Astyanax mexicanus: one gene and its partners. The protein of the gene in region 3 purifies or fractionates together with the protein of the main gene of each other region. This does not show direct contact. Links are inferred from orthologs where the notes say so. Each region holds a gene or a part of one and is shown on either strand. Other genes may lie near its edges.

Region 1 (3,756 bases), on a different chromosome or scaffold from region 3:
TGTCAATCTTGTATAATTAAAGCAATATAGCAAATAACAAGTCTACAATATATACCTGTTAATGTAGATATTGAAGTTTGTCTTTCTTTTTCTTTGGCGGACAAACACATTTTTTTTTTTACTGTTTATTATATAATTTCATATGTGTCCCTTTAATTGTTTTGATATCTTCAATATTAACCTACAATGTAGAAAATAAATAAATGATCTGGAACTGTGTATTGTTTTTCTCTATTTTAAGTCTTTATTTAAAAAAAAAAGTTGACAGCATGTTCAAATAATTTATATTTATGACAAAAAAATCACTCCCTTTAATGCCACTTATTCCTGTTACTGGAACTCACTCCTGTTACTGACACTCATTCCTGTTTTTTTATGCTTTTGAGTAACAGGAATTAAAGTAACAGGATTGAGTTATTAGCATAGAATTTGCATGAAAAACATGAAAAATAGCTAAATGGCGGCTATGCTAACAGCATGAGGACACTGAGCACATTCTAGTGATTTTCCCAAAATTTGTATTTTAAAAATAAACAAATAAGATCTAATAATTAATTTAGGTAACAGGTAACAGTGTTGAGATTGACATCCTCTGTCATAACTACAATAAAATCAAATATACAGAAAAATTAATGAGGGAACTTTATTTTGGTCTTAAGACGAACCAGCTGATGTCACTTCCTGTTGTAGATGTGACTTGTAGAATGTTCCAGATGTTTCAGAAGGAGTTATGGTAAGAGGACTGAGTGAAACCCAGTGACACAACTAAAAAAATTTATTATGTATTTATTATGAAAAAAATATATATTTTTAAAGCAAAGATAGGATTTGGACTCTCTCTGAAGAATTTTTAATAATTATATTTCATGGTAAAGTTTATGATTTTTTTAGTGTCCTAAATTGTTTTTATTAATGTTTTTAATTCCGTATTTTACTTTTGCAATAAGGTCAGTGCACAAGACTTAATAATGCCTAATAATAAAAGTATTTTAAAGTTATTTTGTGTGCACATTTATACATGTAATTTCCTGGGGACAGAAATGGAACTTATTCAGTGGAACAGCTCTTATATATATATATATATATATATATATATATATATATATATATATATATATATATATATATATATATATATATATATATATATATATATTTCTGTATATACTTCTGAGAGTATAAAGTGTAATAAAGGTGTGAGTTTGTGGAGCTGTGAGGAAAATCGTCCTCTTTCAGTGACATCACATCATACTACTGCTGCTGCTGTCTGTCCCCCAACCAGGTGCCGGCGATTGGCCAATGGCCAGATAGCGTGAGCTCTGCTCACCGCGTCCTCGCCGCTGATTGGTGGAATTCGAGCCGAGGAGGCGGAACTGCAGCGCATACAAACGGCCAATGGAGGCGTTCGATATTAGCATAAATTATTCAGCATCCTCGGCGGCTCGGATGAGCTTCTGCTCCTGCTGAACACCGCGGACCTGTTTATGCTTTTTTTTTTTAAATACTATTTTTTTAATGAAAAAGTTTAAAAAAGTAGCTTAAAAACTTTTTTAAAAACTTTATTTTTAGTTTAAGGCTTTTTTTTTACTGGTGAAACTTTATTTGAAGCTGTATTATTTTGTATTTTGTAGTTGGAAACTCTTTTATATATATAATATTTTGTATTTTATTAGGATTATCCTCTTATTAGTATTATTTCAGAGCTTATTATTATTTTTAAATCATAGTCAGGATCATGTGGACGTTTCTGGGTGTAGCGAGTTTCACCTACGTGTATAAGAAGTGTGATTTTATTGTGAATAATGGGCTGCTGGTGCTGCTTCTGCTGGGTCTGCTCGCTGTCAGCACTGTGCTGACCCTCAGGAAAGCCCCCCAGATCTCCCAGCTCGCCCTGGAGCTTCTCTCAGCCTTACCTGTGACCAGCAAGATCTTCAGCAGATCAGACACCTGCAGCCGGAAACACACACCTGACAACAGCAAACAGGTAAATAATAATAATTATTATAATAACTTACTGTTCATCTTCATACTGATCCTTATTATTATATTTATATTACTATTGTACTATTATTACATCACTATTGTATTATTTTACCATCTTTATGTAATACAGTGTAATACAGTGAGGTGTACAGGTGATCAGTGTGTGAATATGATGATATAATACAGATGATTAATAATTAATTACTTTAATCTGCTGAAGTTATTTCACACTGACTGTATTACTTCTGTTAACGTTCAGGGAATAAAAGTTGATGTACAAAATAAAAGTCTCTTTCACTCACTTTTCTTTTTTTACTCCATGCTTTCTTTCTTGTTCTCTCTCTCTCTTTCTCTCTCATACTCGGTTTACTTTCTCTCGTTATGTTTTCTTTTCTTTCATTCCCTTATTTCATTCTCTTATATTTCCTCTCTGTTTTCTTTCTTTCTCTTTTTTTACTTTCTTTTCTTTCTCACTTGTTCACTCTCTCGCTGTTTCACTTGCTCCTGCGCTCACTTTCTTTTTGTTTTTATTCCTCCCTCTTTATCTCTTTCATATATTCACCCCTTTTCCTTCATTTTCCCTCTTCCTCTGCTTTTCCTTTTTTTCATCCTGTCTTTTCTTTACTTTCTTTCATTTACTTCTCATGTTTTGTCTTCTCATGCTTGCTTTTCTCCTTCCTCCCTTTTGTCCATCACTTCCTTCCTTTCTTTGATTCCTCTTTTCCTTCCTTCCTTTCTTCCTTGTTTTGTTTCTTTCTTCTTTCCTTTCCTCTGTTTTCTTTAATGTATTTGATTGAATTGAATTGAATTTGATTACTCTGTTATTACATCCTTCTTTTCTTACTGCCTTTTTTAAACCTCATTACTTCCTTCTTATTTTCCTTCTTTTTCTTCCTCTATTACTTCCTTTCTTCTTTTCTTTCTTTCTTACTTCCTTTCTTTCTCCCCTTTTATCTTCCTTCTTTTTTCCTTCATTACTTCCTTTTTATTTTACTTCCTTCCTTTCTTCTATCTTATCTTACTTCTTTTTTCCTTCATTACTTCCTTCTTATCTTCCTTTTTCTCTTCATTATATTAATCATTCCTTCCTTCCTTTCTTCCTTCCTTCCTTCCTTCCTTCCTTCCTTCCTTCCTTCCTGCCTTCCTTCCTTTATTTTCACTGCTCCTCCTTTCTTTTTCTATCACTGATTAGAAAGGAGTGAGGAGGAGGAGGAGAGCAGAAGTGAAGAGCTGTCTGAACTCGGACCCTGGCTCCTCAGTGGACCCCTGCAGTGAGGGGCCGGAGGTGATCATAGTGGGTGCAGGTGTTCTGGGGGCAGCGATGGGGGCGGTGTTGGCGCGGGACGGGCGGAGGGTCACTGTGGTGGAGAGGGACCTGCGGGAGCCGGACAGGATCGTGGGGGAACTGCTACAGCCCGGCGGCTTCCGGACCCTCAGAGAGCTGGGGCTGGAGGGTGAGGGGCTCAGTTTACACTTACAGAACAAAGTTCACGCTGTTACTCTCAATCCTTATATATAAAATATGGACAAAAGTCTTGGGACACCTACTCAGTAATTTGTTTGGGGTCAGGATGTTGAATATTTACCACCCCCCCTCACCTCCAACTCCCTCAACTCATCCCATTCAAAAGTATTGAATGAAGCACCATAATTCCAGAGAACATAGTTCCACTGCCTCATAGCTCAATTAGGGGGCTTTATACCCCTCTAGCCCACACCTGGCATTAGGCATGGTGCCAACAGGTGCATTTGCACATTTATCAGCAATAGGTA
Region 2 (3,756 bases), about 12 Mb from region 3:
GACTTTCATTCTGGAGAACTGTACCACTATATAGGCATGTGAATGCAGTATTACTATATTGTTGCTAGCGAGGAAATTAGCGGGGCACAGCAGCGATTCTAAAGGTGCCATAGCAATGCTTGACAAGGCTAGTGCTGCACTAGTGATGCTAATACAATGCTAAATGAGGCCGGTGGTGGGCATGGTAGCAATGCCACGGGAATAATGCTAAATAAGGCTGTTCAGTCAGTGTGCTGCAAATGTTGCAGCTGTTAACGGTTCACATATACAGCTGGACATAGTGTGCCATAACTGCAAGGCTAATTAAGGTGGAACAGCTTAATTCCGTTAGCAAGAGGTTCTTTTTTGAACCAAGACTCCTACATTATACCAGTTATGCCTTTACACTGTTTCTACTTACAATAATATTTAAAACAAAGACACAAGCATTCATAAACTTTACAACATTAGCCAAACTAATGGTATTGTTAACTCGTGTAACCAATGCTTGGTGGGAAAATAAGCCACACCAGATTTCAACTAAATCAATAAACAAATATTTTCAAATAAAATTAGTGCTTATAATATGGCAGACAGACCTCACGTCCTTATTCTCACCACTGTTTTCAAGTGTCACTATCCTGTCTGAACTTTTACCTACATGTTATTGTGGGTCATCCATAAAGGAAATTGCTCAATAGTGAGTCAGACGGGTTACAGAAACGTTACACATCACATACAGGCAGCACACTTAAACTTCAACTCAAATTCAGTTTTCAAGATAGAACATTACTTATTCATTTTACTATACATTCTGGCAAATATCCGATATGTATTGTGTAAAATGTCTTTCTTTAATCATTTGTACACTTAGGCTACTACTTGACCATTTTGTGGGCTTTATTTCTCTACTAGATCAAATTTTTCTGTCAGAACTGGTTTCTGTTTCTCTTACTTTTGCTTGCTTATTAACCCTAAGCACATTTTTGGTTATTACACCATACCATACCTTATTTATTTATTTGTAATCTTTATATAATGTTACAAGGGTATATCTATGTCCAATAGAATGATATGTACACTCTTTTCGTCTTAAAAAAATTATATTTAATGCCATAGAGGGATAAGAGTACTGACTGGTTGGAGGTGTGTGTGAATGAATGTGAACAGTGAGTCTGTAAGAGTTTAAATCAGGTGTAAATCAGCTCCCTCAGATTAAACTTTTGAACTAAACAAAAAAAAGCCCAGCTTCGGTTCTGAGCTTGACGTCACACCATCGCAGCGGCCGCGCGCGCCGGTTCGTTGTGCTGAGAGAAAGACCCGCTGACGTGCTCGCGACCTTTGTACTACTTTTTCTGTTTTTTTTAATGGTCAGGTGCCACAACATGTAGTGGGAGGATATAAAGGCGAGAGAACTCCCTCATTCTGAAAGAGTGCGAGTTACCACTCCTCAGAGGACTCCTGAAGACTGCCTTTGGCCAGTAGACTAAACCCACAGATTTACAGGTGAGATTAAGCTTGTTTTTTTTAGTTCTTTCCTTTTCTCCTATTTGTTTTTTCATTAATACTGCTGTAAGATTCTTCATGTCCCTTTATGACTTTAAATGGATGAAGAACTGAACTGAAGAGCATGTAGACGTGACATTTTGCCCATTTCTTTTTCTTCTTCAGTGAGAAGACATGGCTCCAATGGAAATAACAAACCAGGTGTGTAGAAATGCCTTCTAAAAATCGTTCTTGTCCCACAAAATACAAAAACAAGACTTTTAATGACTAAAACTAGTTTATTAAAGTTAGTAACTATATAACCTTCAGAATAGTCTGTTCTTCTCCCATATGATCTTATTTGATTAGCGTAAAACGCCCCTGTGTTAATGTTTACTACTATATTAATTTAGGCTAGACAAAATATTGAAAATATTGATATATATCAAACTGTTTTAGAACAAAAAAGGCCATTCTGTAATATAATTTAGCTTTTACAATTACCTCAGTAGAAAGACCTTTGCATCCCTGAAACCTGTAAAGAACTATTTTATTAAGCAAGAGTTTTCATATTTTACATATTTCCCAAACTGTGTTTAATATAAAAACTGCTGTAGGGTTGAAATGGTATGCTTACTATTCGTACAAAAAAAAGAAAATTAAATAAAAAAAATTAAGTTGTTTTGTAACAACTAAAGATCTAAATCTTAATCGAGAATCACTCATATAATTAAATAATATTGAGACAAATATTTTTTACAATTACATGTTACTCTCTAAGTGTGATTTAAAGGTTTACCTGTATGGCAATAGGTTAGTTTTTGGATTGATGACACTTAACAGAGTACAGCAGAGTACAGTCTTGTGCAAAATATGCAGTTGAAACATTGTAATTAAATGTAGCAGCAAAGTAACTTTATTTCACTATTTCAGACAACACAGGCAATCCAGTGCATATTAAAAATCATCCATATTAAATCTACAGTTAGATATTTACTATTTAAATATACAACAGTCTGTTCTTTCGGTGTTACAAATAAATAATTTTACTTTGGCATTGTATTTTTTTGTAGTGTTTTAGTATTATATCTCAGCCCTACTAGTATATTCAGGTATACGGATACTTTGAATTTTGGAAAATTGATCAAAACATTTTTAGTTTTTGTTTAAAAATATATTATCCTTTGGTTCTGAAACATTGATGAATGTTTAGCTGTTTTTGATCCTCTTGGTGTGGATTTTCTCTTGTGTATAGTTTCTGTTCTTTAAATATAACAGATATAAATCAATCTAATGCCAGATGCCCTGGATTGTGTTCTGGAACAAGACAGAATTTGCACAGCCGTACCATTGCATATGACATGACGTAGACCTCTATGATGCAAATGGTAATGATTAACCTTTCACAATTTTCAGAATGTGGTCATTCGAGTGGCCAAGCTGCCCCTGGTGAGCTCCACCTACGGCATGGTCTCAAGCATGTACTGCAACACCAAAGACAACCATCCATACATCAAGTCTGTGTGCGAGGCTGCAGAGATGAGTGTGAAAACTCTCACTTCAGCTGCCCTGACCAGTGCCTTACCAATTATTGGCAAGCTGGAACCTCACAGTAAGTAGTGTGACTGGACTGATTCATAGTAATTCAAAATAACAAATAATAATAGTTTATTATATTCATTTAGTGTAACAAAAACACTGTAATTTAACTAGAATTTTTTGTATTTATCTTCTTTAGTCTCCCTGGCTAATGACCTGGCCTGTAAGGGTCTTGACAAGATAGAGAAGACGCTTCCAATTCTTCACCAACCTTCTGAGCAGGTGAGCTAGGGTTCATCACCCAGTAATGACTCAGACTGAAACAACAAATGATTTGCCCTTTAACAGTTCTCAGAGATCTGTTCTATGCCCTCCTCTTTTTCATTACCAGTTCATCCTTTTACTCCCTAACAGCTCTAGAATAATTTGTAGATTGATAGGAATGCAGGTGTTGTAGGTGATGTCCTTACATTCCTACCTAATTCCTGCCTAATGGCCACTTTTCAGTTTTTCGGTTTTACATAACACAAAATAATTTATAGTAGTTACAGAATAGTAGAATAGTAGTTTGAAGTAAAAGTATAAAAAATTAGTCATACTAGTCATATATGAAAAGCATGCCTAGTTGCCATGTTCTTTACAATGTTGCAGAGATTTTCTTCATGTCCATGAACCTTCATAAACCTTTTCTTTACTTCTGTAGCTCGTCGCTAATGCTAAAGAAGTAGTGACTGGTGCCAAGGAAAAAGTGAC
Region 3 (3,756 bases):
TATAACACAAAGATTTTGTCAAAATCTCTAGCGCTCTAGAGAAGTTTATAGAGGCCTTTCGTTGTTATGTCTCAAAACAGACACAAATCAGAGGCATTGTGTGAAAGGGTCGTAAGCAACCAATGTTAAACTGACCTTTTTTTTTTGTTTGTTTTTTTATTCTAAATTGTTGATAAAAAAAATATGCTCTTGCTACATCATTAAAGCAAGCATTACTGCTTGAGAACACATTTAAAGCCCGATCTGGTTGTTCAGCTTAATGTTATATTTATTATGACGGAATATTAAATTAGGAAGATTTTCTTCTGAAACTTTACACTTAAGACAAGCTTTTAAAGTTCGGCACCTGACTATAATGTGTCTGTGTCCTGAAAAGGCCTAAATATAGGTCAGTTTGGCACAGAAAACCAGTAATAGGACTGGATGCTCTGTGTGGAATGTGAGAAAAACTGGCACTTACCATTCTTGATGAATGAATTTAATACTTCCAGTGCAGACACAGGGGTGGTAGAGGGGTTTGTCTAGAGTTCCCTCAGACCGACACACTCTACATATGTCAGCTGCAAAAAATAAAAAAATAAAAATAATTAATATAATTAATAATAATAATTAATAATAACTAATAATTAGTATCAGCAGGTCTACAACTTTTTTGCTGCAAAGTAACAAAACATACTGAACATGTCCGTTCATTTTTAAGGTATTAATTATGCAGGTCACAATAATTACATTATCAGCTCATCCTTTAATATATGGACATGACGTTAATCGTTTCTGCTGTCCTCCATATTGCCCATTTTTTGTTGCCAAGGATATAAATGATGGGTGTAATTGCATTGTTAGGCTATAATATCATTGTATAAATTGGTAGCATAACAATATCTTAAAATAACAATTAAATCATTCACCTCAATAATTTCCAGAACAATCTATTGTTAAAAAAAAATGTCATCTTAACATTAATCATTGTGGACATGATTGTCATGGCAACATTGTGGTTATAATAATTTAATGGATGTATTTTTTCTGGCTCTGAAAAAAATAAGAGCCCACTTTAAAAAAATATGCGTTTCTTTTTTTTTATTTCACAATTTTGAAAACCTCTGGAATAAAACCAGGAGAAAGACAGATGATAACAAGCAATCAAACCAAGCTGAACTGCTGGAATATTTGCACCAGGAGTGCAGGCATAAAGTTATTCAAAAGGAGTGTGAAAGACTGGCGGAGGAGAACATGCCAAGATGCATGAAAACTGTTATCATAAACCAGTTATTCCACCATATTGATTTCTGAACTCTTAAAACTAAACTTGTTTTCTTTGCATTATTTAAGGTCTGAAAATATTTCAACATCTTTTTCTTATTTCTGTCATTTCTCTTTTTTTTGCAAATAAATGGCAATATATATTTTATTTGGAATTTAGGAGAAATGTTGTCTGTAGTTTATAGAATACAACATGCTCATTTTACTCAAACATAAACCTATGAATAGCAAAAACAGAGAAACTGATTCAGAAACTGAAATTGTCTCTTGTTTTTTTCCAGAGCTGTGTTACTTAGAAAATTCATGAGTTAAAATGACTGAGTTATTACTACTGTACGAATTGTACACATACACATACACACACAAGTCTCCATTGGCTATTTGGGGTTAAATAGCCACAACAACTGCCAAATGTTTTTTTTTTTGTGTGTTTTATGAAAAACATTTGTTATTTTAGGAATGTTTCGATTCGCAAGTGTGTGTTAAAAGCGAATGTTTTGATCCCCAGTAAATGCTAGTTAGCTAACCCTAGTCCACATAATTCTGTTGTGCTACACCTGACACTACTTACTGAACTGTGAGTAATATACTCAACGTTTTCCAGTCATCGCTGCAGATTTCAGCGATTTTGAGGAACCAGAAATATACGTTAGCTAAGCTAACTAGCTTGTAAGTTAGCAGTGGTGGTAAAATAAAACTGCTGTGCTGAACCATTTAGTGCTTAACTAACCCACTTTCTGAGAAACCTCCAGAAAACAGAGCTCACCCGACTGACTCTAACAGTGCTAAAAGCTAGCTAACAGTCAATACACACTATAAATTGAATACCTCACTGCGTTAGCTTAGCTAACCTTGTTAGCTAACCAGTCTGTTTTAAAGAAAAACACAGCTCAAATATCAGTGCGGGGGTCTTTGTTGACTGAGTTCAGGGCGATGACATGTTTACTAGCAAAGCAAAGCTAGCATTAGCTAAGTAGCTAAATAGCTAGCGTTACGGTTCACAGCGCAGGGCCACATAGTCCAGTCTAACTTGGAAGCTATAAAGCTAGCATTAGCCAACCCAGCTAACCCAGCTACAGCTAACTAACAGCAGCCCGGCCTGAACGGCGGTGTTTGCGCCCCGTACTTCGGATCCATATTGAAACCCAGGCTAACCGCTCACATTAAACAGCCGTGCCCAGAGCCCGTCTAATTTTAGAGCCCAGTTAAAGCCCGTTAAAGGTCCGGAGCTTACCCTCTTCTCCAGTGTCCATCTTGTCGCTGGTCGTGACGCACTGTCCTCTTTACAGTCCGCTCATAACCCCGATCCGCTACAGCTGGAAAACAACAACAGCTTCCTAACGCCTCACCAACACACACATCTCCAGACCAGCCGCACACCGGACACCAGCTCCGCACACCGGACACAACCGCTCAGTTTAGTGTTAGCTAACTAACCCCCTTCAGACGCCCACAAAACCTGTGCTCGGTAAAATGTCAGTGAACTACATCTCCCATCAACCCCTGGAGCACAGCTCAGCACTGTTTCCGGCAGGACAGCGCACGAGGACAGAGGCTACGACAGATACTACACTCTGTGATGGATTACGGGTGTTTAATAGTGAACTATATAGGGGCTAGACTTTACCTCACTTTTGAAATCATTTAGAAAAATAAGAAATGTAAAAACTGTAAGAAGAACTGTAGGAATTTATAATGAGCTGTCACTGACCTTTTGTTAATGTATCCTATTTTTTTTTTTTTTTATTTAGGCCAATTGTGCTCTCTCAGGGCCCCTGCAGCCGATGGCAAGCTGCATGAATAGGATTCGAACCAGTGATCTCCCGATCAGAGTGGAAGAGCAGTTTTTTCCCATTGCATTGGAATTAGCTGTTACTTTGCCCCAATGACTCTAGTACTACTGGTTTTCCAGTAGTAGGCAGGCCAAGTTACTGTTTCATTGGTTTATAAACGTGTTCCTTGGTTGGCATGGTCTTTTCCTTTGAACAACTCTCAAACAGTGTTATGTTTTTTATAAAAAAAGAAAATACATGATGTCCATTGTAATGGATGCAGGGTGTGAAAGGGTTAATTGTGGATGTTTAAACTCCTGCTCATTGCAGAGAAAATACTACATTTCTAAAATGTTACAAAATGCCAATCAGATAAAAGTGAAAGCCTTGTGTGTTACTTATTTTATGTATTTTTATTTGCTTATAAGAAGTGATTATCTATGTTCTACTAACCTTTGGGATTTGTATTATTTGGGAGTTGTACTATTTTTACAGAATGTATTACAAAATAAAATAAATGAATGAATTTATTAATAAAAAATGTGCGCTTGTGTGCTCTGTGGGCGTGGCCAATGTGATGTCACTCTAAAATCCCTAAAAGACTTCCTGGGTAGGATACTTTGGTGTATTCTCTGTTGGAAAAAGCTGCAGGGAGATTTGAAGCCCTTCTTTCATCTGCTCCAGTATTCAGACAGACGACAAGATGACTAAACAAAATCAG

The links.
Region 1: the proteins of marchf6 (region 3) and sqlea purify together in Homo sapiens (affinity purification with western blotting; 4 studies listed by BioGRID and IntAct, with this or other methods). This does not show direct contact. The link is inferred for Astyanax mexicanus from reciprocal best matches to the Homo sapiens genes MARCHF6 and SQLE.
Region 2: the proteins of marchf6 (region 3) and plin2 purify together in Homo sapiens (affinity purification with western blotting; 3 studies listed by BioGRID). This does not show direct contact. The link is inferred for Astyanax mexicanus from reciprocal best matches to the Homo sapiens genes MARCHF6 and PLIN2.

Annotation. Positions count from the first base shown.
Region 1 is NC_064408.1:112,537,721-112,541,476, forward strand, and holds the start of sqlea (squalene monooxygenase), read left to right. Parts: upstream 1-1,444; 5' UTR 1,445-1,735; coding exon 1,736-1,984; intron 1,985-3,175; coding exon 3,176-3,437; intron 3,438-3,756. UniProt on the Homo sapiens protein: Catalyzes the stereospecific oxidation of squalene to (S)-2,3-epoxysqualene, and is considered to be a rate-limiting enzyme in steroid biosynthesis.
Region 2 is NC_064415.1:28,201,687-28,205,442, reverse strand, and holds the start of plin2 (perilipin-2), read left to right. Parts: upstream 1-1,376; 5' UTR 1,377-1,485; intron 1,486-1,650; 5' UTR 1,651-1,659; coding exon 1,660-1,686; intron 1,687-2,880; coding exon 2,881-3,076; intron 3,077-3,202; coding exon 3,203-3,285; intron 3,286-3,706; coding exon 3,707-3,756. UniProt on the Homo sapiens protein: Structural component of lipid droplets, which is required for the formation and maintenance of lipid storage droplets.
Region 3 is NC_064415.1:39,741,806-39,745,561, reverse strand, and holds the start of marchf6 (E3 ubiquitin-protein ligase MARCH6), read right to left. Parts: upstream 2,774-3,756; 5' UTR 2,517-2,773; coding exon 2,498-2,516; intron 561-2,497; coding exon 461-560; intron 1-460. UniProt on the Homo sapiens protein: Endoplasmic reticulum membrane-associated E3 ubiquitin ligase that plays a critical role in mitigating endoplasmic reticulum stress, the regulation of cholesterol and lipid homeostasis, and ferroptosis.